Anolis sagrei: one gene and its partners. The protein of the gene in region 3 purifies or fractionates together with the protein of the main gene of each other region. This does not show direct contact. Links are inferred from orthologs where the notes say so. Each region holds a gene or a part of one and is shown on either strand. Other genes may lie near its edges.

Evidence for each region.
Region 1: the proteins of ZRANB1 (region 3) and GCC2 purify together in Homo sapiens (affinity purification with mass spectrometry; 3 studies listed by BioGRID and IntAct, with this or other methods). This does not show direct contact. The link is inferred for Anolis sagrei from reciprocal best matches to the Homo sapiens genes ZRANB1 and GCC2.
Region 2: the proteins of ZRANB1 (region 3) and SLMAP purify together in Homo sapiens (affinity purification with mass spectrometry; 3 studies listed by BioGRID and IntAct, with this or other methods). This does not show direct contact. The link is inferred for Anolis sagrei from reciprocal best matches to the Homo sapiens genes ZRANB1 and SLMAP.
Region 4: the proteins of ZRANB1 (region 3) and STRN purify together in Homo sapiens (affinity purification with mass spectrometry; 4 studies listed by BioGRID and IntAct, with this or other methods). This does not show direct contact. The link is inferred for Anolis sagrei from reciprocal best matches to the Homo sapiens genes ZRANB1 and STRN.

What each region holds. Positions count from the first base shown.
Region 1 is NC_090023.1:107,107,120-107,114,091, reverse strand, and holds the start of GCC2 (GRIP and coiled-coil domain-containing protein 2), read right to left. Parts: upstream 3,013-6,972; 5' UTR 2,901-3,012; coding exon 2,895-2,900; intron 1-2,894. UniProt on the Homo sapiens protein: Golgin which probably tethers transport vesicles to the trans-Golgi network (TGN) and regulates vesicular transport between the endosomes and the Golgi.
Region 2 is NC_090022.1:57,663,139-57,670,857, forward strand, and holds the start of SLMAP (sarcolemmal membrane-associated protein), read right to left. Parts: upstream 3,015-7,719; 5' UTR 2,922-3,014; intron 2,671-2,921; 5' UTR 1,726-2,670; coding exon 1,528-1,725; intron 1-1,527. UniProt on the Homo sapiens protein: Associates with the striatin-interacting phosphatase and kinase (STRIPAK) core complex, forming the extended (SIKE1:SLMAP)STRIPAK complex.
Region 3 is NC_090023.1:197,458,373-197,466,117, reverse strand, and holds the start of ZRANB1 (ubiquitin thioesterase ZRANB1), read left to right. Parts: upstream 1-4,734; 5' UTR 4,735-5,080; intron 5,081-5,145; exon of another isoform or gene 5,146-5,209; intron 5,210-7,745. UniProt on the Homo sapiens protein: Ubiquitin thioesterase, which specifically hydrolyzes 'Lys-29'-linked and 'Lys-33'-linked diubiquitin. Also cleaves 'Lys-63'-linked chains, but with 40-fold less efficiency compared to 'Lys-29'-linked ones.
Region 4 is NC_090021.1:51,293,140-51,300,119, forward strand, and holds the start of STRN (striatin), read left to right. Parts: upstream 1-3,970; 5' UTR 3,971-4,131; coding exon 4,132-4,482; intron 4,483-6,980. UniProt on the Homo sapiens protein: Calmodulin-binding scaffolding protein which is the center of the striatin-interacting phosphatase and kinase (STRIPAK) complexes.

The DNA of each region.
Region 1 (6,972 bases), about 90 Mb from region 3:
TTCCTGCTTCTTGGCAGAGGGTTGGATTGGATGGCCTACGAGGTCTCTCCTAACTCTATGATTCTACTGTGATAGGGATAAATCTAGCCTTCTTCTATCCAGAGGTGACAAGTTTCCTTTCATTTTCTAGATACTAGGAGGTGTTCGTACATTTCTGCTTCTATTTTAGAGTAATCATAATGTAGTGGATTGCTTGGCACCTGAACTGATTAATCTTAATAATGGTCTGTTGAAATAAACAAAGAACATCTTCATATCTCACACTTTCAAGCTGGTTAGTTCCAAATAAACCCAATTCCAATCAGCCAGCTTGTCAAGTTCAGGTTAAATGATATACCAAAATTAATCTAAATCAGAAGTGAACACTTTCAAAGTTTTCAAAGATGTAGAGAAAGACTTTGCAAAGGTAGAAGGTCTATTTCCATCACAACACACCATGGCTGAGTAGCAGGTGATATGTCAGTATAGTTGTGACACACGAAATCACAATATCAGACTACATGAGTAGCTTCACATTGGGATTAAACAGCTTGGGAGGCAGAAAAATGAACGAATCAAAGGAACAACAATTTACCTAGGCAGGCTTTCTAACAGACAGAATGCTAATTCAAAAACACGACCCCCAAAATACTTTTGACCTCTGGTAACCTGATCATAAAATGTTATCCCTATAATTTTTACTCACTGGATTTTATTTTTTGTGCTTAATTTTCTCTTCAATGATAATAAACTATCATATAGTCTACTTACATTTCAGCATCTCAACATTGAAGTTGAAAGGGCAGGAATCAACATTGTATAATATTTATAAACAGGGTAATTCCATATCCACACCCTGCAAGCTACTATTATGAATAATTCAAACTGTTACTTAGCTACCATAAAGATAAATTATTTTAATGTTTGATTTTCACATGTATGAGGTTGTTGCTAAAGCAAAAACAACTGATCAGTTAAGAGAGGGGCGGTCAATAAATGCAAATAATAAATAAATAAATAAATAAATAAATAATTTTAAGTATTCCATATATGTGATTTACAGAACACCTCTACACAGATGTAAGCCTCTCTTAGCAGTGGCTGTTGAAGTCATCAGACACAGGATTTTTGCCTACATTTTAGACACAATTGGAAGTGTCAAACCTGTCATCAAGGGCCAGTGAAAACAGGGAATACTGTCATTCCCAAGGTCCCAAAGCTTGGGATCAAGTGAATAACCACAATAACTGTGCAGTGAAATGGTCTGTGTATTGTATTTCTGCTTTATCTATTTAAAAGTGCAAGAGGCCAGCAGGAAGAGCAGAGTTTCACCCAGTTTTTCCTTCCTGTAGTTTGCTGTTTAAATAAGTAAATAAACTTTATTTATACTTCACCACCATCTCCCTGAAGGGGCTTGGGCGGCTTACATGAGGCCAAGCCCAGAAGTGCACTTCAATACAGTAAAATAAAAAGCATAAAGCAAACATTACAGTAAAATAAAATAAATCAAGCATAAAATATAATAAACAGTGCAAAGTAATACAATAGAAAATCAAACACAAGCACAATGAATGGGCCACATGTGCAAGATACAATGATAAAAACTCAAGATGAGATAAAAACAAAAACCTATATATCTGTAAGGGAGACTCATCAACCGAGTGGTAGAGACAGTCCTTCATGTGGGCAAGAGACAATGCAATATGAGGACACACATTATAGGGGAGCATGACAAGGGAGATGTAAGATCAGTCTCCAAAAGCACAATGGAAAAGCCACGTTTTGAGGTTCTTCAAGGTTTCTAAGGTGGGGAGTAGCCTAATCTCACTGGGCAATGGGTTCCAGAGTTGGGGGGCCACTATGGAGAAAGCTCTCTCCCTCGTTCCCACAAGTCAGGTTTGTGATAATGGAGGGGGCGAAAGGTATGGATCTGCTTTTGCACAGTACTTTTAACCATACTAGTAGGATGAGTCAGGGGTGTGTGTGTGGGAAACAATATTCATAATTTTTATTGTAAGGGGGAGACTTGAGAAACTGCAAGTCATATTATTATTATTATTATTATTATTATTATTATTATTATGGTGTGAGAGAATTGGCCATCTGCAAGTACATTGCCCAGGGGACGCCCAGATGCTGTACCATTCTGGGAGGCTTCTCTTATGTCCCCACATGAGAAGCTGGAGCTGACAGATGGGAGCTCACATCGCTCCCCAGATTCAAACCACTGGCCTTTTGGTCAGCAGTCGTGATGGCACAAGGGTTTAACACATTGCACCACTGGCGGCTCCTCAATACTCATAATGAATGGCCATGAATTCAGGCTTGCTGTTGCTGTGTGCACCATTATGTCCTTTCAGACTAAAGTGACTCTACCAAGGGTTTTCTTGGCAAGAATTGTAATGGGATTTCTGAGGCAAAGAGTGTGATTTGTCCAGGGAGGGAGGATTTCCATGGTAGAGGATTTGAACTCAGGTCTCCAGAGCTGTAGTCCATTATGCCAATTAGCATTTGGTACTGGATGTCAAAACCAATCTAGAATCTTAAGATGCATCTATACTGTAACATTAATATAGTTTGACACCACTTTAACTGCCATGGCTCCATGGAAATGAAATCCTCGGAGTTGTAGTTTGGTAAGGCACCAGCCCTCTTTGGCAGACAAGGCTGAAGGCTCCTAGGAGTCCACAGCATGGAGCCAGGGCAGATAAAGTGGTGTCAAACTGCCTTCATTCTACAGTGGGCCTCCTCCCCGCCTCAGGCAACGCAAATGCGGGTCAGCTCCAAGTGGCGGAGCCCCCTCGCTCGAAGTCAGGAGTGAAAGGCGACTACACTGCTTCAGACCCGGGTCAACCTGTCCACACGGCAGCCCAGAGCCCTCAGCCCCTGCTTCCCTCGTCACCCGGTCCGGTTACCTCCATCGCGGGGCAGAGAGGCACGAATGGAAGAAGGCTCCCTCAGCGCATCTTCTTGCAGCAATTCACAGGCACCACTTCCGCCTTCGTCACTGCCCCTCCGCGCCCACCTCTGACGTCAATGAAGGCGCTCTCCACTTGCGATAGCGTTGCCATGGCCACCCGTTCAGGAAACGCCTTCCCGAGAGCAGCGCCCTCCTTCAGGCCACGCCCCTCGCGCGCGGGGTTCTGTGATTGGTGGAGACGGGGAAGCAGCGCCGTCAGGGCAAAATCATCGCTGGGATGTTTTCCTTTGCGGCATTACGCTGCCTCTCCCGTCTAATCTCGGAAGCTAAGTAGGTTCAGCCCTGGTGAACGCCTGGATGGGAGACTACCAACCGATACCAGCTTTTTCAGAGGAAAAAAATGGCACAATCTCTTCCGAGTATTCCTTACACATAACTATTATGAAATTATGGAGTTGCCATAAATCAGTAAGCGATTTAAAGGCACAGACACACAAACGTATTTTCTTCCATATGTTGGGAAACACATATTTACTCTGTTGAATAACAAAATGTGATAGTGATCGCGTTGAATAAGCACTTTATTGTTGTGTGCCTTTAAATTATTTTGAGCTATGATGATGCCGTCGCATTGCCTTCCCTGAAGCTGAGAGAGTGTGACCTGCTCAGGATCACCCAGTGGACTTCTATGGCTGAGCAGGGATTTGAACCCAGGTCCCAATGGTCAGTTACACCACACTGGTTTATCTAACTAGGTATTATATGTGGTGCAGTGGGTTAAAGCACTGAGCTGCTGAACTTGCTGACCGAAAGGTTCATATCCTGCTGTTAGCTCCAGCTCCTGCCAACTGAGCAGTTCTAAAACATGCAAATGTGAGTAGATCAATAGTACCGCTTCGGCAGGATGGTAATGGCGCTCCATGCAGTCATGCCAGCCACATGACCTTGGAGGTGTCTACCGACAACGCCGGCTCTTCGGCTTAGAAATGGAGATGAACACCAATCCCCAGAGTTGGACATGACTGGACTTAATGTCAGGGGAAAACCTTTACCTTTACCTATTGTTATAATGATTTGTTCATTTGATAGATGTGTGTATGGCATCAAATTGCTGCTTGTTGTAAGGCCACCTTGAGTCAGTCTCCTTCGGGGTGAGAAAGGCAGGATATAAAAATAAATAAATAAAGCAGATAATCTGGGATCAAATCCTGGGATATAGCTCAGTGTAGATCCCGCCAGAAGGCCCTTCTACACAGCTCTATATCCCACAATATCAAGGCAGAAAATCTCACATTATCTGAGTGTAGACCTTCAGATAACCCAGTTCAAAGCAGATATTGTGGGATTTTCTGCCTTGATATTCTGGGATATAGGGCTGTGTGGAAGGGCCCTTAGTTACCCGTTATCCACTCCTCTCTCTTATTTAATAACTCTACCACTGATTGCCTTAACCTCTGGATACCTCTGAAATAATTTTCTAGAACACCTTGACGGTTGTGTGTGGTGTGTGTGTTTCTGCATTTTGTAAACTGCCCTGAGTCCCCTGTGGGGTTGAGAAGGACAGGATATAAATGCAGTAAATAAAATAATAATAAATAAATATAGTAACTTTTGTACTGATTGTGTATTATTCAGTTAATGCTGGAAATGTTTAGCTTTTCATTTTTAATCCTAAAGGGGTTCAACCTGAATAAAATCTGGAAAATGCTGAATAAAATCAGATATCAGGCACTGCAGACTACTTCAACCAGAGAAGTCAGCCATAGCAGAGCACCTGATGAACCAACCTGGACACAGCATATTATTTGAGAACACAGAAATGCTGGACCACTCTCACAACCACCATGTCAGACTACACAGAGAAGTCATTGAAATCCACAAGCATGTGGACAATTTCAACAGAAAGGAATAAACCATGAAAATGAACAAAATCTGGCTACATGTATTAAAAAACTCTAAAATTACAACAGCAAAACAACAGAGAGGAAACAATCAAGGACATCTAATCACCTCTCAACAAAAGATTGCACCAGGCACTAACAAGCCACACACACAAAAAACTGCCAGGCCATAAAATGCTAATCAAGGTGGTCAGTTGAAACATTCACACCTAGCTCCAACAGACAAGAGTTCTTTGTCCCACCCTGGTCATTCCACAGATATATAAACCCAATTTTCCTAGTTCCAACAGACCTCACAACCTCTGAGGATGCTTGCCATAGATGCAGGCAAAACGTCAGGAGAGAATGCCTCTAGAACAGGGGTCCTCAAACTTTTTAAACAGAGGGCCAGGTCACAGTCCCTCAAACTGTTGGAGGGCCGGATTGTAATTTGGAAAAAACATGAATGAATTCCAATGCACACTGCACATATCTTTTTCGTAGTGCAAAAAACACTTAAAAACAATGCAATAATTAAAATGAAGAATAATTTCAACAAACATAAAATTATTAGTATTTCAATGAGAAGTGTGGGCCTACTTTTGGCTGATGAGATAGGATTGTTGTTATTGTTGTGTGCTTTCAAGCCGTTTCAGACTTAGGTTGACCCTGAGCGAAGGCTGGGTAAATGACCTTGGAGGGCCGCATCCGGCCCCCAGGCCATAGTTTGAGGACCCCTGCTCTAGAACATGGCCATATAGCCCGAAAAAACCTACAACAACCCAATCATAAATCTCCATTGGAACCAGCAAGCTTCATCAGAAATGTACCATTTTTTACTGAAGTGAGATTTTTTTCTATGTAGCTCGAATTGTTGGCTGCTGTCAGTTTTAGAAATATATACTTTTCTCAAAACATATTTCTTGTCAGGATACAGGATTATGAAGAAAACAAAATGAGTACTTTTGAGAACCTTAGACAGATGGCTATGTATAAGATTAATAAGACTCAGAGCTACAGTCAATCTTTGTATTATGTTTGGACTATAGAATAGCCAGAGAAACCAGGGGAAAATGATTAAAAGTCCAATCATACTGAGGTATAAATACTCAGTAATATTCCTGTACCTTTGTATTATGTAAAGAAAAGTGAGGGTGGGGGTTGACAGGTTGGAATGGGGAGGTGGTGGGAAATAATACTTGTATTTTGATTGTTGAATTTCGAAGATTGTATGTTTCTCTCTCTCTCTCTCTCTCTCTCTCTCTCTCTCTCTCTCTGTGTATTACAATAAAAATCTATAAAAATGTATTTCCTTGTCTGAAAAACATAATCCAGCTACCCCCTTAAAAAAGGAAAACGTCTTGCCTGTTGGCTTATTTATAAGCTTTAGTATTGATACAGAGCAATTGGCAAATGGGATATTTGGTGCACAGGTTAAGAAGCCCTGGTTTATTCCTTATGGGACATATTCCACTGAACATAATGTACTATATAATCTCTATAAAGGCATACAGATTATATGGTATTGATCTCTATGGCTTCTTCAAATTTTCTTTGTGCTGCTGAGGATCAGGATGTTCTCTTCCTATTACCCTCTGAGGCTGGATTACTATTGGCTGCTTCTCTCTTCCAATCCTCTAAATGTGGGCTATAAGTTCCTTTGGACAGGGATGGTCATATTCTCTTATATCACTCTGAATTCCCTAAAGAGATTACAGTCCAAATTCAGTGGATGGGAAGGAGAGGAAAAGGGGGAGACACTTTTTCTAACTAAATTATTGCCATCAAGATATTGGTTCATTCCTAATAAGGGGCAAACATGATTTATTCCAAACCAAGTTAGGTAAGATTAATTTGTCACTGTTGCCTAATAGCTTTTGTCAGATTCTCAGTGCGGTCCCTCACCTTCTCCCTCACCACCAAAAGGTTAAGAACGACTGGAGTAAACATTCCTTTTCATGTGACTATTGCCTGATACCATTTGGCATTTATCCTTCTTTTTTAAAAAATGCACAAAGTTTTTTTTTCATTAACAGCATGTTAGTATTCGACACTACAGTGTATCATTTCCTTCCAGTGCCCTTCAGATCAATAACAAACTTTTGTCTTAATGTTGTCATCAAATCTCAGCACTTTGTGTGGAACATCCAAAGTTATCCCAGTTCTACATTTATTTATTTTTAGATGTTTATG
Region 2 (7,719 bases), on a different chromosome or scaffold from region 3:
TGTGTTTTTTTTAAAAAAAACTCAAATCCTTCATAGCACCTGATATGATTACAGTCATTCAGAAAATACTGTTGAGGCTCTAAATTAGGTTAGTTGTCGTAGTTAGGCCCCAATGAAATCAATAAATGTGAAAAGCTAAATACAACTTATGTCAAACAAATAAGTAAGTAACCTAACATGGATCCAAATCCAATAATCATAGTTCAATATTGTACTGAGAAAAGCTTAAAACAGCTAGGACACCTTTATCCATATTTATTTAGTAGATGCCATTTATTAAATGTTAATTCTGAGTTTTAGTCTATGAGGCTCAAGCAAGGCCAACCAGTTACGCAGTCGTTCTTAACCTGTGGGTCCCCAGGATTTTGGGGATACTTCTAGTAAGTAATAATAATATTTATTTATTTATTTATTTATTTAAATCAGTGCTGGGCTGGGAAGAAATCCCTAAATGGATGGCCCTTGGTTTACAAGCTGGATGGCCACCTGCCAGGAGAGTTTTGATGGTGCCCTTCTACCTGGAAGAAGGGAGTTGGGCTAGATCAGTCGTTCTCAACCTGTGGGTCCCCAGATGTTTTGGCCTACAGCTCCCAGAAATCCTAACAGCTGGTAAACTGGCTGGGATTTCTGGGAGTTGTAGGCCAAAACACCTGGGGAGCCACAAGTTGAGAACCACTGGGCTGGTTGTCCCTTGGGGGTCCCCTCCAACTCTAGGATTTTTTGTGAAAATGAAGAATTGGTTAATATTTCTTTCTTCTATTAGTTAATATGAGAGACATTCAATGTTGTAGCTATTTTTTAAAAAAGGTTTTTGTCAAAAAAATTCCTAAAATCAGTAGATGTATGAATATTTCTTAAAGTTGAGGAAAATGATCCCCTATTATTTTGGGTCACTGTATAGACAATTCAAGGAGATAGTTCTTGCAGCTTTTATTTTTAAATGTTGTTCGTAAAATCTTTGAAATTTCCCCAAAATATTGTGGTTAAGTGAAATGTTCTGACACTTGATGGGCTAACAGTGGTAAATGTGTTCTACCATTGTAGCAAGTTCCTCCCCAACAGCTGTAAAAATGAGGGAGAAATGAGCCCCTGAAGTTCCCCCACTTGTGTAATTGCTAAAACTACAGGAATTGAACAGGAAGACATAGTTTTATAATTTTATTGTTTTTATTGCTTTTATGGTTTTTAATGTATTTGATGTAATTTTTTGCTTTTAACTGATGTATGTATTTATATACGGCATGTAATTGTTGCCGATTTGAACGCCGCCCTGAGTTGCCTTCGGGCTGAAATGGGCGGGAAAAAAGTGATGTAAATAAATAAATAATAAATAAACAAAAACTCCCATGAATCTACTAAAACTCCCAGGAATCCCAGCTGTTAAGATTTATGGGAGTTTACGTTTCAAGTTATGGGAGTTGAAGGCCAAAACATCTGGGGACCCACAGATTGAGAACCACTGCCCTAATGAAAACAAGGAAATGCAAAGTTTATTTTACTTCTCTTGGGGAATGTAGGGTGTCTTACCTTTCCTGTTTTCTGATCAAACCAGACAAGCGCATGGTTCCTAGACAGGACCTTGCAGTCAAAGGTGGCATTATTCTGAGCGGGTCGACATCGAGCCACTGAGCGCCCAATTTTGACAGGCTCATCCAGGTAGACATGGCGTTCTTGAAACGGGTGAGAGTTCGGGCGGCAAGTGAAGATAGCCAAGGCTGAAGGCATCGAGGAGAGATATGCGGTGCCACACCAACCAGGAAAGAAGAGAAACTCTTCTTGACCCAAGCCACCCTCCACAGTTGATGAGCAAAAACCTCGCAACACTTCACATTAAAGCAGGGCAAACATTATCTGCCAGTGAGATCTAACAACGCATACTTTCAGTGTGTGAACCAGTGCGGGCAATAATCCAGCAAAAAAGCCCCATTGTCTCCGGCAGCGAGTCTGCAAAGTTCCACTTTAATCCATGTCTGTCAATAATGAGGACAAGCATCTGAAGAGGAACAGAGCTTGTTAAATTAAGGTGGGGATGGCTATAACTCCAAGCGAATGACTCACGCGAAAATTCCTGTTTGGGATGTAATCGCGCTTTTCCCTTCCATCAACAGGGCCCAGGAGTTTCCCTCGCGCGGGGCAAGATTCAGGGAGTGGGGAAACGGGGGAAGGAAGGGCCAAAGGACTGCAAAACAACCCAACGTGAGAAAAAGGTGGTCAGCCCAGTCCAGGGGTGAGTCCACGGCTCGTCTTCCTCGGGCATCAAGGCAGAGTGAGGCACCTCAAGGCGAAGGGAGAAAGAAGCCTGTCCTCCTCCACCACCACCTCCTCCTCCTCCTCAGGCCCAGGCAGGAGGACTCAAAGGGCCGGCCGCCCAATGCTCCTGGGAGGCAGGGGAGCGCTCTTCCCGGCCAAGAGGGCTCCATGCACCTGGGAAGGCATCCCAGGCGGTGGCCTTTCCTGAGCAGGGAGGCAGATCTGACAGCAGGCGATGGCCAAGGGGAAGGAGAGGGGCCAGGGCACTGCAGGTGTCTCCTGCTGCTGCTGCTGCTGCTGCTGCTTCTTCTTCTTGGCTGAGGTGCAGGCCTGGCGCCTTCTTGCCTGCCTTCCCAACCTTCTCTCTCTCGCTTTCTGCCTCCCTCAGGAGTCCGTCGACGAGGAAAACTTTCCTCCGACCTGTGGGAAAAAGAAGAGAAGAGAAGCGTCAAAACAAACGCCGGGGAAGCTGAAGCGGGGAGGGGAGGCCGGCCCAACCGCCGCCTTCCCACTTCAGGAGAGAGCGAGCGAGCGAGGGAAGGAAAGAGGGCCGCCCTTCGCGGAAGGAAGGAAGGACAGCCAAGCGGGAAGCTCCCCTCCTTCTTCTCCTTCTCCTTCTCCTTCTCCTCCTCCCCTCCCTTCCCTGCCCTTCCCTCGCCAACCGCTCTTACCTTCCCAGCCGCAGTGGGAGCCGCCATACTGACTGGAAACCTACCCGGTATGGCAGCAGCAGCAGGAGGGAGGGAGGGAGGGGGAGGGGGAGGAGGGAGCCGAGCAGGGGGAGGAGCCGAAAGCAAAGCTCAGGGACGCCCGGGTTCCTCTGCGCAGGCGCAGAGCCGCAGCGCGCCCGGGCAGCGCATGCGCGGAAAGGGGACGCGAAGCCTGTGGCTTCCGGCTGGTTGCCCTGAACTAACCGGGCCGCTTCCGGATCTCTTCGGGAACACAAGAGGAGGTTGTTGCCCTAGTTGAAGTTCAGTGTTGTCCTTTATCCAGAGCGAGCGGGGAAAGGTCTTCTATGGGAAGGCGGGCAAAATAATGCTCTCGCTGTCCTCAGGGGAACTAAAAAGTTAATTCAGAATGTTTCAAAGATCAGGACTGCCCCACAGCCTGGATCCATGACACCTGTGTGGTGCCAAATGCCCTCACCGAAATCCCATCTGGTCTTGGAGGCCGAGCAGGGCCTGTCCTGGCTAGTTTTGGGGCCCTTCCACACAGCCCTATATCCCAGGATATCAACCCTAATGAGAGCAAATATGATTTGGGCCCCACCTACACTGATCATTTAATACAGTTTCAAGTCAGTATTGAAGAAAGTGGTTTCAATGTTCATATGATTACCTAGGAAAATCCTGGAACCAGTTGAAGGCCTGGGTGATGATTCCCCAAACCACAGAGCATTGATGCACATTAAGGGCTTTTAAAACATTTTTGTGAAGGTTTATTCTCTAGCCGCCACAGTTTGAAGCTAGCTTTGAACTGCATTAAATGGTCAGGGTAGATGAGGCCTTCGTTCATGGCATTTTCTCGGATTTTACAAATTAACCAGCCCTGGCTTTTGTAATTGTATGATATTGTATGATCTGTATTTTAGTGTATTTTGTATTAATGTATTATGATGCTATTAATTAATTATTTTGTAATAATTGTGCATTGTAATTGCTTATTGGTAATTTATGGATAATGTGTTAAGTCAATTGTTATATGTTGTATGGAACCACTGCTGTTTCTACTGTTTTTACTGTTTGTGAACCGCTGTGAGTCGCCTTCGGACTTGAGATACAGCAGTATATAAGCAAAGTAAATAAATAAGTAATAAATAATAAATATTATGTTTGCTATATTTGTGTTGAATTTTCTGCTGTTAGCCGCCCTGAGTCCCTCTTCAGAGGTCAAGAAGACCGGGTTATAAAAGCTCTAAATAAATAAATAAATTTCATTTTCGAAGGCACTAATTAACAAACCACAAAATTGCACATAAAAACACAATAAATGTGTCAGATTTCAAAACATGATAAAATCTTCCCCATGCCTTCTTCAGCATTTTACCATTTTCAGTAGGTCTCACTCCCAGTGGCCAAGTATTTTGCAAATAAAGGCCAATTCTTGTCCTTGCAATACTTTTATGCCACTTCATGATGTCAGCTGTAGACAATCTTTTTGTGTATAGAAATACAGTCACTGGATGTTGAAGAAAAAGCACCATGTCCGAGGGCAAATTTGAATAGTTTGGGGTTGAAAATGGTCCAAAAATCTGAAAACTTCAGGAGTCCTTCCACCCAGCCCTATATCCCAGAAAATCCCACATTATCGGAGTGTGGACTCGGATAACCTAGTTCAAAGCAGATATTGTGGGATTTTCTGTCTTGATATTCTGGGATATAGGGCTGTGTGGAAGGACCCCGAGTCCACACTGCCATATATTTAAGTTCAAAGCAGAGATTGTGGGGTTTTTTGCCTCTATATTCTGGGTTATATGGCTGTGTGGAAGGGACCTTGGATGGGAGGCTGCCAACTAACTCCAGGCTGTATTTCTGAGACAGGATCTGGGAAAACTAACACATAGGCCCCTTCCACACAGCTGAATAAAATCCCACGTTTTCTGATTTGAACTTGGATGTATGGCAGTGTGGAGTCATCAATAACTAGGCAGATAATCCACAATATCTGATTTGAACTGGCTTATCTGAGTCCACACTGCCATATATCCCAGTTCAAAACAGATATTGTGGGATTTTCCGCCATGATATTCTGGGATATATGGCTGTGTAGAAGGGCTCTAAGTGTCCCTTGCCTGTGAAAAAAATGCCTGTGTTCCTTCAAGATTTCTGGCAGTCATCATTGCATTAACATTGGATTTAAATCCAGTGCTGGCACCATCTAAAGTGGAAATTGATGGGCCTTTTTAGTCATGTTGTGATCGAGTTAACTTCAGCTTACGGTGGCCCCATTAATGAATCAGAATCATAGAGTTGGAAGAGATCCCAAGGGCCATCCAGTCCAATCCCATTCTGCCATGCAGGGAAAGCACAAACAAAGCACCCCCGACAGTTGGCCATTCAGCCTCTGCTTTAAAACCCCCAGAGAAGGACACTCCAGGCAGCATATTCCATTGCCAAGCAGCTCTTATCATCAGGTAGTTCCTCCTAATGTTTAAGAGGAATCTATTTTCCTTTGGTTTGAATTCATTGCTCCTTGTCTCCAGACTAGCAGAAAACAGGCCTGCCCCCTCCTCAGTGTGACATCTTTTCAGGCACTTAAATATGACAAACATATCTCCTCTCAATCTTCTCTTTTCCAAGCTAAACATATCCAGCTCCCTCATAGGGATTGGTTTCCAAGCCTTTGACTCTTTGCTTACCGTCTCTTTGAATCCATCCACCTGCAGTCTTTTCATACTATCCTCAACCAAGCTTTGTCATTTTTTTCCTAGTGTGTCATGTCTTCTCATGCTAAGTCCAAAATACAACAGTCTCAGTTTAGTCATCTTGGCTTTTTAGGAGAGTTTAGACCTGATTTATTATATAATTAATTCATTTGTCTTTTCAGCAGTTCACAGTATCCATAGAACCTTTCTCCGCCACATTTCAAATTATTTCATTTTTTTTCTTATCAGCTTTTGTTGCTTCTAGCGCTCACAACCATGCATAGAAATTGGAAACATGATGGCATGGGCAATTCTAATTTTAGTATTTAATAATATATCCTTACAATTCAGGATCTTATTTAGTTCATAATTTCCCTTCCAAGCCTTTGTAGCTCCCTACATGGTTTGGGTCCAGGTTACCTACAGGGTCACCTTCTTAGGACACTGAGGTCATCTGGTGGTCAGCTACTCCAACCAACCAGAACCTGACTGGCAACTGTCACCCAGAGGACCTTTTCATTGGCTGCCCCAAAACTCTGGAATGATCTGCCAGAGGACCAACAAATTTAAGAGCTGTCCAAATTTAAACCAAAATTAAAGGCCTATCTCTTCGGTCAGACCTACCCAGTCAACTTTGAAACATGAATTTTGGATTTGAATTCTATTACTGCTATATGTTCATCTTTGTACCCTGTATTTGATGTATGTTTTTATAATGGTGCATTTCTATTGATATATTTTATTATATGTATTTTATTTTCGTATGTTTTGACTGTTAACCTCAAGCTGTTAGGAGAACCGAGTAACATAAAATGTATTATTATTTGTCGTAGTAGTCTTCTTCTGATTTCTTGCCTACAGTCTCTGTTCTGATTGATGACTGGACGAAGTTATGGAAGATACTGACCTAGTTCAATGTTTTAATTATCTACTTTAAGATTATTTAAATCACCTATGGTCATTTTGTTTTGTTTTAGTTATCCTAGGTCCTCTTTATTTCAATAAATATTACTAGCATTAGATTTACTTTAGTGCTGCCCAGAAGTAAATTCCATTTAACTCTTTGACTGTTTACTCAGAAGTAGGTTTATGTTCATGGAACTGTTAAGTTCCATGAACATCACAGTAACTCACAGTTAAGAAAGTAAGATACTTGCCAATAGCCCTTTTTTTGCTGGAATTTTACAGGGTCTATAGAGACTGTTGTTCTTCTAAGCCTCCTTTGTTTTTCCACTACTAATTACATCATCTTTACCACATGGAATATATTAAGGAGAAGTGGAAGTACAACACAATGCTTCAGGCATTTCTCAATGTAGCACTTCTCATATTAACAACTCAAAGGAACTGTACAGCTATTTCATGTTTTTTTCCCCATAATGGATTTTCTGTTGTATTTATTTAATTCATATCCTGCCTTCCTTCAAATATGGGACCTAAAATGACTAAAACAAAACATATTTGAAAGTTGTCATGTGGAAAACAAATTTAATTAATTAATTAAATAGTTTTAAATCATTTTATCAGTAAAAATAAGAGCAGTTGAATCTGTGAATGCAAAATCTATGGCTAGTCCCAAGCAGAGTAGTCTCTTTCAATCAGTTGTTGAATGGTGAGACAACACATCCTATAGACATAATTGGTCTACTCTAATGAGTGTAAATATGATTTGGGCCCCACCTACACTGACAATTTAATACAGTTTCAAATCAGTATTGAAGAAAGTGGTTTCAATGTACATATGATTACCTAGGAAAATCCTGGAACCAGTTGAAGGCCTGGGTGATGATTCCCCAAACCACAGAGCATTGATGCACGTTAAGGGCTTTTAAAACATTTTTTGTGAAGGTTTATTCTCTAGCCACCACAGTTTGAAGCTAGCTTTGAACTGCATTAAATGGTCAGTATAGATGAGGCCTTAGTTCATGGCATTTTCTCTGATTTTACAAATTAACTTTCCATTTTCAAAGGCACTAATTAACAAACCACAAAACTGCACATAAAAACACAATAAATGTGTCAGATTTCAAAACATAATAAAATCTTCCCAATGCCTTTTTCAATGTTTTACCATTTAAATAGGTCTCACTCCCAGGGGCCAAGTA
Region 3 (7,745 bases):
TGGCGCTCCATGCAGTCATGCCGGCCACATGACCTTGGAGGTGTCTACGGACAACGCTGGCTCTTCGGCTTAGAAATGGAGATGAGCACCACACCCCAGAGTCAGACATGACTGGACTTAATGTCAGGGGACTACCTTTACCTTTACTATGCTGCCATATAAACCAGTCCGAAGCAGATAATTTGGCTTCAGAAACAGGATGATATGGCAGTGTAGATGGAGCCTCAAGGACTTAGGCGTTCCTTCTTGGGTGGATTGAACAATTCAGAAGGTTCAAAATATATGTAAGAAACATACTTCTCACAATTGGCTGCCTTGGAGCAAAATTGTTTTCTGCTGCTTTAGACACCAGGACCCAAAGCAATAGATTCAAATTACAGTCAAAGACATTCCGAATAAAGATTGAGGAGGAATTTCTTAATGCTAACAGATATTTGACAGTGGAAGATACTGCCTCAGACTTTCCTCCTTTGGAAGTTTTAAAACAGAGATTAAAAGGCCACTTCACGGAGAAGCTTTAGAAGCTGATTCCCGCATGGCAGGGGTTTGGATTAAGTATCCCTTGCTGTCCTTTCCAATTCTATGATGCTAATTTTGGTACTTCTTCTCTTGTAATGTGCGGTGGGCTTTGCGGATGCTATCTATAACAGCAGATTATCTAAAAATAGCTGGTGGGAGTGGGAAGGAGTGCAGGTCATTTCTAGTTTCTCTTCTTCAGTAGTTCTAACTGGGGAATCTGTTTCAGAGGCTGGATCTACACTGCCATTTAATGCAGTTTGGAATTGCACTGTATGGTCAATGTAGAGCAATATAACACAGTCATTGAACTACCTTATATGTCTATGCTATTCATATAATGCAGCTTGGAACTGCTTTATATGGCACTGTAGATCTAGCCTGAGGCATTCTGGAAAGGGGTGAATTGGATTTTGTATCAGCATTGTCTAGTGTAGCACTTCTCAACCTTCCTAATACCGCAGCCCCTTAATACAGTTCCTCATGTTGTGGTGACCCCCAACCATAAAATTATTTTCGTTGCTACTTCATAACTGTATTTTTGCTACTGTTATGAATTGTAATATAAATATCTGGATGTATTTTCATTCACTGGATCAAATTTGGCACAAATACCTGATACGCCCAAATTTGAATACTGATGGGGTTGGGAGGGGGATTGATATTGCCATTTGGGAGTTGTAGTTGCTGGGATTTACAGTTACTTACTTACTTAGGCGATCCCTCATTGGACGAGTAAGTCTTCCATGATCAGTATTCTTGTGGTTCTGTGGGTGACTGTGGAGCCCTATTCTTGACCTGCATCTTCTCCCACAGTGAGGGCATTGGTTTCCAGGAGGAAGGCGTTCTCAGTTGGGGTTGGCTTGACACACCTTCCTCTTGGAAGGCGTTTCTCTCTTTCACCCTCCATTCGTGCCTCTTCAAATTCTGCAGCACTGCTGGTCACAGCTGACCTCCAGCTGGAGCGCTCAAGGGCCAGGGCTTCCCAGTTCTCAGTGTCTATGCCAGAGTTTTTAAGGTTGGCTTTGAGCCCAATTTTAAATCTCTTTTCCTGTCCACCAACATTCCGTTTTCTGTTCTTGAGTTTGGAGTCGAGCAACTGCTTTGGGAGATGGTGGTCAGGCATCCGGACAATGTGGCCGGCCCAGCAGAGTTGATGGCAGAGGACCATCGCTTCAATGCTGGTGGTCTTTGCTTCTTCCAGCACGCTGACATTTGTCCGCTTGTCTTCCCAAGAGATTTGCAGGATTTTTCGGAGGCAGCACTGATGGAATCGTTCCAGGAGTTGCATGTGATGTCTGTAGACAGTCCACGTTTCGCAGGCATATAGCAGGGTTGGAAGGACAATAGCTTTATAAACAAGCACCTTGGTATCCCTACGGATGTCCCGGTCCTCAAACACTCTCTGCTTCATTTGGAAAAATGCTGCACTCGCAGAGCTCAGGTGGTGTTGTATTTCGATGTCGATGCTGGCTTTGGTGACGTGGTGGCTGCCAAGGTAGCAGAAATGGTCAACATTTTTTAATGTTACACCATTAAGCTGTATCTCTGGCGTTGGAGAGGGATTGGTGTACTGGTAGTGGGTCTGTAGGTGACTGTGGAGCCCCATTCTTGATCTGCATCTTCTTCTGCAGTGAGGGCATCAGTTTCCAGGTGGAAGGCGGTCCCGGTCGGGGTTGGCTTGATGCGCCTTCCTCTTGGCACGTCTCTCTCTTTCACCCTCCATTCGTGCCTCTTCAAATTCTACAGCACTGCTGGTCACAGCTGAATTCCATCTGGAGCACTCAAGAGCCAGGGCTTCCTGGTTCTCAGTGTCTATACCAGAGTTTTTAAGGTTGGCTTTGAGCCCATCTTTAAATCTCTTTTCCTGCCCACCAACATTCCATTTTGAGTTCGGAGTAGAGCAACTGCTTTGGGAGACGGTGGTCAAGCATCCAGTCCAGAGGAGTTGATGGTTGAGGACCATGGCTTTGATACTGCTTCTCTGCTTCTTCTAGCACGCTGACATTTGTCCGCTTCTCTTCCCAAGACACCTCATTCTATTGTGGAGAGATATTATACAACACATCACACAGGCTTTTTGCCAGGACTTGCGAGGCCTTATTTTTTGAAACTTTGTTGTTGTTCATTCGTTCAATCGTTTCCGACTCTTCGTGACTTCATGGACCAGTCCACGCCAGAGCTCCCTTTCGGTCGTCACCACCCCCAGCTCCTTCAAGGTCAATCTAGTCACTTCAAGGATACCATCCATCCATCTTGCCCTTGGTCGGCCCCTCTTCCTTTTTCCTTCCATTTTCCCCAGCATCATTGTCTTCTCTAAGCTTTCCTTTCTTCTCATGATGTGGCCAAAGTACTTCATCTTGGCCTCTACTATTCTTCCCTCCAATGAGCAGTCAGGCTTTATTTCTTGAAGTATGGACTGGTTGGATCTTCTCGCTGTCCAAGCCACTCTCAGCACTTTCCTCCAACACCACAGTTCAAAAGCATCTATCTTCCTTCGCTCAGCCTCACATCCGTAGGTGACTATGGGGAATGCCATTGCTTTAACTATGCGGATCTTCGTTTCCAGTGTGATGTCTCTACTCTTCATTATTTTATCAAGATTGGTCATTGCTCTCCTCCCAAGAAGTAAGCGTCACCTGATTTCCTGGCTGCAGTCTGCATCTGCAGTAATCTTTGCACCTAAAAATACAAAGCCTTTCATGGGCTCCACGTTTTCTCCCTCTATTTCCCAGTTGTCAATCATTCTTGTTGCCATAATCTTGTTTTTTTTAATGTTTAGCTGCAACCCAGCTTTTGCGCTTTTTTCTTTCACCTTGATTAGAAGGCTACTCAGCTCCTCCTTGCTTTCGGCCATCAAAGTGGTGTCATCTGCATATCTAAGGTTGTTAATGTTTCTTCCAGCAATTTTCACCCCAGCCTTGCATTTGTCAAGCCCTGCACATCGCATGATGTGTTCTGCATACAAGTTGAATAGGTTGGGTGAGAGTATGCAGCCTTGCCGTACACCTTTCCCAATCTTGAACCAGTCTGTTGTTCCATGGTCAGTTCTTACTCTTGCTTGTTGTTCATTCGTTCAGTCGTCTCCGACTCTTTGTGATCTCATGGACCAGCCCAGGCCAGAGCTCCCTGTCGGCCGTCGCCACCCCCAGCTCCTTCAAGGTTAGTCCAGTCACTTCAAGGATGCCATCCATCCATCTTGCCCTTGGTCGGCTCCTCTTCCTTTTTCCTTCCACTTTCCCCAGCATAATTGTCTTCTCCAGGCTTTGCTGTCTCCTCATGATGTGGCCAAAGTACTTCAACTTTGTCTCTAGTATCCTTCCCTCCAGTGAGCAGTCGGGCTTTATTTCCTGGAGGATGGACTGGTTGGATCTTCTCGCAGTCCAAGGCACTCTCAGAACTTTCCTCCAACACCACAGCTCAAAAGCATCTATCTTCCTTCGCTCAGCCTTCCCTAAGGTCCAGCTCTCACATCCGTAGATTACTACTGGGAATACCACGGCTTTGACTAGGCGGATCTTTGTTGCCAGTGTGATGTCTCTACTCTTTACTCTTGCTACTTGGTCCTTATACAGATTCCTCAGGAGAGAGACAAGGTGGCTTGGTATGTCCATACGACCAAGAACTTGCCACAATTTATTATGATCCACACAGTCAAAGGCTTTGGAATAGTCAATGAAGCAGAAGTAGATGTTTTTCTGAAACTCCCTGCCTTTCTCCATTATCCAACGGATATTGGCAATCTGGTTTCATTCCTCTGCCTTTTCTAAACCCAGCTTGTACATCTGCCAACTCTCTCTTCATGTATTGCTGGAGTCTTGTGAAACTTAGTGCAGGCCAAAGCTCTCTCCTCGAGTACCTAAGATAGAGACACATACGCCAGTGGTGTAACTAACTACAGCCTTTATGGGGAGGAAACAAACGTTCCTCAATTGCTCTGAACAGGCCATTGCGGCCTTGTTTACTTGAGGCGTGCTGAGCTAGGCCTCGGCCTTTCCCCTCACGTATGTGTGTTGTGTAGAGAGATATATATGGGCAGTGTTATTATGCCTTTCGGGAGGGGGGGGGAAGAGACGCCAAGGAGGGGAACTGAGGAGAGCGCCCCCCCTGCAGCCTCTTCACAATGAGGCGTCCCAAAGACTGGGATGACATCAGTCGCTCGTCTCCAAAAAGGCGCGTCCCCATTGGCAGGGAAGGCTCCTCCCGCTAGCCAATCAGCGCAAGGGAAGGCATCAAGTCGGGCGGGCTGACGTGCGAGCTCCCGTCTCTCTCTCTCTCTCCGCCGTACGGGGGTTTATTTTGCTTTGGGACACTCCATCCGCCGCCGCCATTAGGTCCTCCTCCTCCTCCCCCTTTTGGCCAAAGTGGTACCGCCCTCCCTTCGACTTCCCACATCCTTTTGCCCTCCCAGAGCCGGAAGAAACCATGTCCTGAGCGCGCGCGGGGGGGAGGCTGGGGTGGGTGGGAGGCAGGCAGGCGGGCGGCTGGCGGAGGGGAATGGGCCGCAGCTGGTGCTTCTGAGGAGGCCGCCGCCGCCGCCGGATTAGAAGAACGGCCCTGGAAGGTAAAGTAGAGCTCTTCTCCTCCATTATGGGGTTGTTTGTGTTGGGGTCGGGATTAGGGAAAGAGGAGGAGGAGGAACAGCAGAACCTACCTTTCGGGACTTCGAAGCTTCCTGAGGGAGATGGACTTGGTGAGGCCTTTCTTTGAAGGAGGAAAGCGGGGGGGGGGGGGGGTTGCACTTTTGGGGGGAAAGGGGGGTTTGTGAAGGGCCTCCCCCTGCTTTCCTCTTCGCCATTTCAGTTTAATTTGGTTCCTTTTGGCCTCCCTTTTTAGTCAGGGTAAAGGATGCCTTAGAAAGGCCGCTCCTTTAGAAGAGCTGGACCCTGCCCTGTCCTCTTTCCTTCAAAACAACATTGTATTTCAAATAGGAGAAGTTCCTGGGCTGTCCCTTGTGAGAGTCGTGCCTCTACCTTTCCCCCTTTGAAAAACAGTCCTAGTTTGTTTAAACTAGGATTTTATCTTCTGAGAGTTGTACCTCTTTTCCTCTTTAAGAAACAGTCCCATTTTGTTTTAAATAAGAGATGTTCCTGGGCATTTATCTTGTGAGAGTTGTACTTCTTTCTGTCCTATCTCCTTCAAAACAACATTGTATTTCAAATTATTGGATGCTCCTAGGATTTTATCATGTGGGAGTTGTACCTCTTTCTTTTCCCCTTTAAGAAACAGCCCCATTTTGTTTAAAATAGATGTTCAAGGGCTTTTGTCTTCTGAGAGTTGTACCTTTAAAAAAACACTCCTATTTTGTTTTAAATGGAAGTTCCTGGGCTGTCTCTTGTGGGATTTGTACCTTTTTCTTTTCCCCTTTAAAAAACAGGCCCATTTTGTTTAAACTAGGAGATGCTCCTAGGATTTTATCTGCTAAGACTTCTGTCTCTTTCCCCCCCTTTAAAAAACAGTCCCGTTTTGTTTTAAATAGAAGTTCTTAAATGTTATCTTGTGAAAGTTGTACCTCTTTCTTTCCCCTTTAAAAAACAGACCCATTTTGTTTAAACTAGGAGATGCTCCTAGGATTTTATCTTGTGAGAGTTGTACCTCTTTCTTTAAAAAAAACACTCCGATTTTGTTTTAAATCGAAGTTCCTGGGCTTTATTTTGTGAGAGTTGTCCCTCTTTCTTTTCTCCTCTGAAAAACAGTCCCATTTGGTTTAAAATAGGAGAAGTTCCTGGGCTTTATCTTGTGGGAGTTTTATCTCTTTCTTTCCCCTGTCCTCTCTCCTTCAAAACAACATTGTATTTCAAATAGGAGATGCTCCTGGTATTTTATCTTGTGATCGTTGTACCTCTTTCTTGCCACCTTTAAAAACAGTCACATTTTGTTCAAATTGGGCCTGTTCCCCCCCCCCCCCATTTCTGGGGTTTTTGTCCTTGAAAGGTTTTTGCTTGGGTGAGGAAAGGGATCTTTTCGAGAGAAAGGTGATTTTCTAAAACTTTTACGTTGTGGTGGTGGGGAGCTGAGCAAGAGGCCCTATCACCCCTGCCATGTAGTGAAGTTTGGAACTGCATTGAGCTGTATTTTGTGAGTCTACACTCACCATATAATGCAGTTCCAAACTGCTTTTTCTGGCAGTGTCGATAAAGGCCAACTATTACAGGGAGGCTGTGCTTGTGTTTTGGATGTAATGACATCACCAGCCTAGTCCCTTGCGAGGATTTGGGATTTGGAGGCACCTGCCCTGGAGGGATGCTGCTGTTGCAACTGCCTTGTTGTTTACCAGGAAATGCAGCGCATGACGGTGGCTCAGCCAAGGGTTGGCTTTCTGAATTTTTAACAGTATTAATGCGTACCTGATGTTGTACTGAGTCACTTGCTGCCTCTCTCAGGCTTTCTGGAGGAAACCACGAAGTATTGCAACTCTTGTTTTGCTTGCCTTGATGCTGGTGCGACGGCATTTAAAAGACGCTGTGGTTTGCCTTGATGGCATCACTTCTGCATTCAACAAGGAAGGGGGGATTTGCTACAGTCAATGCTTGGTTATGGTCCACCCACTACATCCGTCAGCAATGTGTTGAATTCAGCTTGGCATATGCATCAGAGGGATGTTTCTGTGTGCATAGTTATCCACATTTAGTGCTGCAGTCCCTACATCTTACTACAGTGAGGTCATACCTCTTCCATCTTCCGCCCCTCCTCTTCCTCATTTATTCATAGATGATAACCTGTGTCTGACTCTCTCTTCCTCTGTTACAAATATGATGCAAACACTGCTTGTTTTAATGACATGGTAGTTAAATTATTCACCATTGCTTAAATAATGAAATCAACATCTAGTAATCCATATCAGTCTTTCACAGCAGTAGCTCTTTAGACTGTATGTTTCTTCAGTTTGAAAGAATTGTATACCCCTCAAACCTTGTATCTTGCAGTCCTCTTGTTGAATTTGCATGTGTTAGGGGATTTAATTAATAGACACATATCTTTTGTATTTTACTCCTTCTTCTGATCTTTAGTATATTACCCATACCACCACATAGTAGCATTGGTGAGATGAGAACAGAATACCTCCAAAGTCAGTCGAGTTTATGCCTTGCAGTTTTGTAATCACACATTTTTGGTATGACCAAGGGATTGTTTTCCAGCATGTCATGAGTAATGACACTATAACTGTTCATTCTTCTGATTGCATATTATTGCTTTCAGGGTCAAATATCTACCTACTTTTTTGCAAT
Region 4 (6,980 bases), on a different chromosome or scaffold from region 3:
ATCCTCTGGAACCATAAAGAATTAGATAGAGAGGAGTCGGATTGCCAAGAAAGTGTGCTTTCAGATAAGGGTGTCCTCTCTGAACCTAAAGAGGTGGAAGATGCCTTAATGCTGTGGGATTATGGGATTTGTAGTTTGGTGAGGCACCAGAATTCTTTGCCAGAGAATAAGGACTTTGTAAAACTACAACTTTCATGATTCCATAGCATTTAGTCATGGCCAATAAAGTGGTGTCAATGTGCATTAATTCTGCAGGATCGATGTTCCCCCAGTCTCTAAGATACCTATAATAAGCATGTATTATTCATGGATTTTTACATAAGAACTTTTTTAACATTTTACATGAGAATAGGACACTGGGTTCATATTGTCATTATATTTTGGGGTATCCAAATCTTACAAGACTTGCAGAGCCAGCTTTGGTAGACTAGAATAAGCAGCATTTTTCACTTCGAGACCCTCTTCTAAAATAGTGGCCCCATCTATATGGCCATATAATGCAGTTTCATATTGCAGTTTATTTGCATTGAACTGCACTGTACGAGTTCACAATGCCATGTAATGCATTTCAGTGCAGTTAAACTGCATTACGAATGCATTATATAGCAGTGTAGATGGGACCAGTGTCTCAGAAATCCCTTGACTTGCCCCAAAGCTGGATGTGTTTTTGCCTATCTGTCTGTATGTCTTAAATAAGTCAATCTATTCAGGATTCCTTTACTCCAATGGCGTTTCTTCTTCCTCTTGGCTAAAACAGTTGCACTTTTGTTTTGGGGTTTCCTTTAATATTTTAAAACAGCTGTAATTATAATACATCCATTGACTTGGAGCAGCAGGCTCACTCAATGAGAAATCTCAGAGCCTTTAGCTAGGGATGATCTTTTGGCTTCTGAAGGACAGCTTTTCCCTTTGATCACTTTAAATAAAAGCCAAAATCAGCCCTTGTGTTTTTATTATTAAGTTACAGCAGGAAAAACAGCGAATGAAAACCTCAAAAGTACAGCATGAAAAGAGAAAAGAAAGGGGAGAGAGGAAAAAATAGCTGCATCTTTAAGACAAAGAGCCATCCAGCCATAGATATAGATAAATATGATTCTGTGTAGATATGGTATCATGAAAGGGACCCCATAAAGAAGGACAATTATATGTTGCATATTCCAGAGGAGGCAAACCAAACAATCTCCACATCAATACTGACAAAGAATCAGCAAGAAATACTGTTTACCCGCAAGCATAAAGAAATTACATTTATTATTATTATTATTATTATTATTATTAACTTTATTTGTACCCCGCTAACATCTCCCGAAGGACTTGATGCAGCTTACAAAGGCCGAGGCCCTCAATAAAACAACAACATAACAATACATTATATAACTCATAAGCAAATCAAAAAACATTAAAGCAGTAACAATAAACAATAAAACAATACACCATGGCACATTTAAAAACTATGGCCGGGCCAAATGTAATGGGTACAGTTAAAAATGCTGGACATGACAGGTGAAATGTAGGATTCTAGGATAGGTGCAATGTGCAGACAGTCTTAAATCTCTAATAAAGTGCGTTTGGGACATGATGCTGGGAGTTTCCTATTCTGGAAAGGCACACTGGAACAGCCAGGTCTTCAAGCTCTTCCTAAAGACTGCCAACGTTGGGGCTTGTCTGATGTCCTTGGGGAGGGTGTTCCAGAGTTGGGGGGCTACCACAGAGAAGGCCCTGTCTCTCGTCCCCACCAAGCGCGCTTGTGGCACAGGTGGGATCGCAAGCAAGGCCTCTCCAGATGAACGGAGGGAACGTGTGGGTTCATATACGGAGATGTGGTCACGCAGGTAGACGGGTCCCATACCGTTCAGGGCTTTGTAGGTAAGCACCTGCACCTTGAATTTGGACCGGAAAATGAACGGCAGCCAATGGAGCTCCTTAAACAGGAGGGTTGACCTCTCTCTGTAAGGAGCACCAGTCAACAACCTGGCCTGCTGGACATATATTAGAAGCCAATATTACTTTCTCATTACTTCCTTTTCCAGATCACCAGACTGGGCCACAGCAAGGCGTGGCAGGGGACGGCTAGCAAATAAATAAATATAGATAGGGAAGGATGTTAACTTCAGCCCTCCCCCCAGGTGTTTTGGAGTTCCACAATTCCTAATGGCCTCAGGCTCCTTGAGGCTGTTAGGAATTGTGGGAGTTGAAGTCCAAAACACTTGGAGGGAGGGGACTTCCACAATTCCTAATGGCCTCAGGTTCAATGAGGCTGTTAGGAATTGTGGGAGTTGAAGTCCAAAACATCTGGAGGGAGGGGACTTCCACAAATCCTAATGGCCTCAGGTTCTCTGAGGCTGTTAGGAATTGTGGGAGTTGAAGTCCAAAACATCTGGAGGGAGGGGACTTCCACAATTCCTAATGGCCTCAGGTTCTCTGAGGCTGTTAGGAATTGTGGGAGTTGAAGTCCAAAACACCTGGAGGGAGGGGACTTCCACAATTCCTAATGGCCTCAGGCTCTCTGAGGCTGTTAGGAATTGTGGGATTGAAGTCCAAAACATCAGGAGGGAGGGGACTTCCACAACTCCTAATGGCCTCAGGTTCTCTGAGGCTGTTAGGAATTGTGGGAGTTGAAGTCCAAAACACCTGGAGGGAGGGGACTTTCACAATTCCTAATGGCCTCAGGTTCTCTGAGGCTGTTGGGAATTGTGGGAGTTGAAGTCCAAAACACCTGGAGGGAGGGGACTTCCACAATTCCTAATGGCCTCAGGCTCTCTGAGGCTGTTAGGAATTGTGGGATTGAAGTCCAAAACATCAGGAGGGAGGGGACTTCCACAACTCCTAATGGCCTCAGGTTCTCTGAGGCTGTTAGGAATTGTGGGAGTTGAAGTCCAAAACACCTGGAGGGAGGGGACTTTCACAATTCCTAATGGCCTCAGGTTCTCTGAGGCTGTTAGGAATTGTGGGAGTTGAAGTCCAAAACACCTGGAGGGAGGGGACTTCCACAATTCCTAATGGCCTCAGGCTCTCTGAGGCTGTTAGGAATTGTGGGAGTTGAAGTCCAAAACACCTGGAGGGAGGGGACTTCCACAATTCCTAATGGCCTCAGGCTCCCTGAGGCTGTTAGGAATTGTGGGAGTTGAAGTCCAAAACACCTGGAGGGAGGGGACTTCCACAATTCCTAATGGCCTCAGGCTCCCTGAGGCTGTTAGGAATTGTGGGAGTTGAAGTCCAAAACACCTGGAGGGAGGGGACTTCCACAATTCCTAATGGCTTCAGGTTCTCTGAGGCTGTTAGGAATTGTGGGAGTTGAAGTCCAAAACATCAGGAGGGAGGAGACTTCCACAATTCCTAATGGCCACAGGTTCTCTGAGGCTGTTAGGAATTGTGGGAGTTGAAGTCCAAAACACCTGGAGGGAGGGGACTTCCACAATTCCTAATGGCCTCAGGCTCCCTGAGGCTGTTAGGAATTGTGGGAGTTGAAGTCCAAAACACCTGGAGGGAGGGGACTTCCACAATTCCTAATGGCTTCAGGTTCTCTGAGGCTGTTAGGAATTGTGGGAGTTGAAGTCCAAAACATCAGGAGGGAGGAGACTTCCACAATTCCTAATGGCCACAGGTTCTCTGAGGCTGTTAGGAATTGTGGGAGTTGAAGTCCAAAACACCTGGAGGGAGGGCCCAAGTTTGCCCAGGCCTGGGCAAACTTGGGCCCTCCCTCCAAATGTTTTGGACTTCAACTCCCACAATCCCTGGCCTCCTTAAGCGAATGAGAGGGAAAAGAAAAGGCCTGAGGCCAGGAATTATGGGAACTGTAGTCTAAAACGCCTGGAGGGAAGGCCCAAGTTTGCCTATGCTTGATGTGGCTAGATAGACTCAGGAAGGGCTGCTGGGAACTACCCTTCCCGCCATGCCCCGGGCCTCTCCGCGCGGAAGAGCGCGCGCGGGGCAGTTTGTCCCTCGCGGGGCGCCGTAGCAGCAGCAGCAGCAGCAGCACCCGGCGGGGGCGGTTAGCTGTCAGGCGCTGACGGGGGACGGGCGCGCCCAGTTGGTCGCCGCTTCCCCGGCGGCGGCTGAGGCGTCGTCGTCGCTGCTTGTGAAGAGAGGGGAGGGCCTTCTCTCTCCGGCTCCCTCGCTCTTTCTCCGGCCATGGACGAGCAGGCGGGGCCCGGCGTCTTCTTCAGCAACAACAACAACAACAACGCGCTGCTCCTGCCTCCGCCGCCGGCCTCCTCTTCCTCTTCCTCCTCCTCTCAGGCCGAGCCTGGGGAAGCGGCGGCAGCGGCGGCAGCAGCAGCGGCTGTGGCAGCGGCGGGAGGCGTCGTCGGCCCAGCGGGTGCCTCTCCTTCTTCTTCTTCTCCTTCCTCGGGAGCGGCGGTGCCGGCCTCTGCGGCGCGGGCTCAGTACAGCGTCCCCGGCATCCTCCACTTCCTGCAGCACGAATGGGGCCGCTTCGAGGCCGAGCGCGCCGAGTGGGAGGCCGAGAGGGCCGAGCTGCAGGTGCGTCCCTTCTCGGGCAAGGCTGGGCCAGCCTGGGAGTGCCAAGTTTTGGACCAGGCCTTTCGCCTCCTCCTCAAACTACAGCTCCCAGGACCCCACAGCCTTCAGCCCTGGTGGCAGTGGTGTTTATTTATTTATGTATCATGTTTTTAACAAACAAACAAAACACAAAGTTTGCAAGCTTGGTAGTTGATTAAATGTCCTTTGACCAGTAGCTAGCCACTTGGAGTTCCTCTGGTGTTGCTGGAATGGTGTCATACATACATTCATTCCTTACCTGCCTCTCCTCTCCCTTTCCCTCCCTTCTCAACCGTTTCTTGAATTGCTTTCCTTTTATTAAGGGTTTTTTTTAATCGTGTCAGGAGCGACTTGAGAAACGGCAAGTCGCTTCTGGTGTGAGAGAATTGGCCATCTGCAAAGACATTGCCCACACATTCATTCCTTACCTGCCTCTCCTCCCCCTTTCCCTCCCTTCTCAACCGTTTCTTGAATTGCTTTCCTTTTATTAAGGGTTTTTTTTAATCGTGTCAGGAGCGACTTGAGAAACGGCAAGTCGCTTCTGGTGTGAGAGAATTGGCCATCTGCAAAGACATTGCCCACACATTCATTCCTTACCTGCCTCTCCTCCCCCTTTCCCTCCCTTCTCAACCGTTTCTTGAAGTGCTTTCCTTTTATTAAGGGTTTTTTGTTTTGGTCGTGTCAGGAGCAACTTGAGAAACTGCAAGTTGCTTCTGGTGTGAAAAAATTGGACGTTGCCCAGGGGATGCCCAGATGTTTTTATGTTTTTACCATCCTTGTGGGAGGCTTCTCTCGTATACCCTCATAGTTAAAGCAGTGGTATTCCCCATAGAAATAGTTTTCTAAGATCTACAAAGACACTCGCTGGAACACCTCAGCAAGCAAGAGTCCAAAAGTGGCAGGCTCAAACCCAGATCCTCAACCAATGGCTGATGCCAGATGAGAGACTCCCCCCTGGGCACACAGAAGACTGGGTGACTTGGAAGGCACTGAACAGACTGCACTCCTCACCATGAGATGCAGAGCCAACCTTCAGAAATGGGGCTACAAAGTGGAATCCTCGACATACAAGTGTGGAGAGGAGCAAACCACTGACCACCTGCTGCAATGCAACCTGGTTCCTGCCACATGCACAATGGAGGACCTTCTTGCAGCAACACCAGAAGCACTCCCAAGTGGCCAGATACTGGTCAAAGGACATTTAATCAACTACCAAACTCACAAATTGTGTATTCTGTCTGTCTGTTTGCTTTGTTCTGTTAGAAATGTAATATAATATGACTGGTTGTCCAGACACGACAAATAATTAAAATTCCCCGTAGTCAGGCCCGTAGCCAGGATTTCAATTCGGGGTGGGGGGCTGAGTTTGTTTGGGGGGGGGGGGCTGAGTCTGAGTGAAAGAGGGTCTACCCTAGCAAACCTTTTGTATGGGATATATTGAGTATGGTGATCAGATCATGATATGAATAAACATAACAGTTTAAATAATGCACCAGAAAGGCCTTTTCGCGAACCACCATGAGAATTTCGGGGGGGGGGGGCCTTGGGGGGCTACATGCCTGCCCGTAGTAACCTATGGATGTGAGAGCTGAACCATAAGGAAGGCTGAGCAAAGGAAGCTAGATGCTTATGAACTATGATGCTGGAGGAAAATTCTGAGAGAATTGGTCACCTGCAAAGACATTGCCCAGGGGACGCCCGTATGTTTTCATGTTTTTACCATCCTTGTGGGAGGCTTCTCTCATGTCCCCGCATGGGGAGCTGGAGCTGATAGAGGGAGCTCATCCACGCTCTCCCCGGATTCGAACCTGCGACCTGTCGGTCTTCAGTCCTGCCGGCACAGGGGTTTAACCCACTGCGCCAACAGGGGCTCCTTTTATTAAGGGTAAAGGTAAAGGTTTTCCCTTGACATTTAAGTCCAGTCATGTCCGACTCTGGGGGGTGGTGCTCATCTCCATTTCTAAGCCAAAGAGCCGGCATTGTCCATAGACACCTCCAAGGTCATGTGGCTGGCATGACTACAATGAGCGCCGTTACTTTCCCGCCGGAGCGGTACCTAGGAAACTTTACCAGTCCAATTAGATTTGACGCAGATGACCAAGATGGTTTTTAATATTTTGATAAATGTTTTTAATGTTTATGTATACTTCTATGAATTCTTCTCTCGGCATTGAATGTTTGCCGTATATATGCTGTGCTCCGCCCTGAGTCCCCTTCATGGTGAGAAGAGTGGAATATAAATGTTTTAAATAAATAAATAAATATTGATCTACTTACATTTGCATGTTTTCGAAATGCTAGGTTTACAGAAGCTGGGGCTGACAGCGGAAGCTCACTCTGATCCCCGGGTTTGAACCTGCGACCTTTCAATCAACAAGTTTAGCAGCTCAGTGGTTTAACCCACTGCACCACCGGGGGCTCCTTTTATCACACTATTATTATCATGCTTTTATTTTCATAGTTCAGGGGAAGGGCCTTGG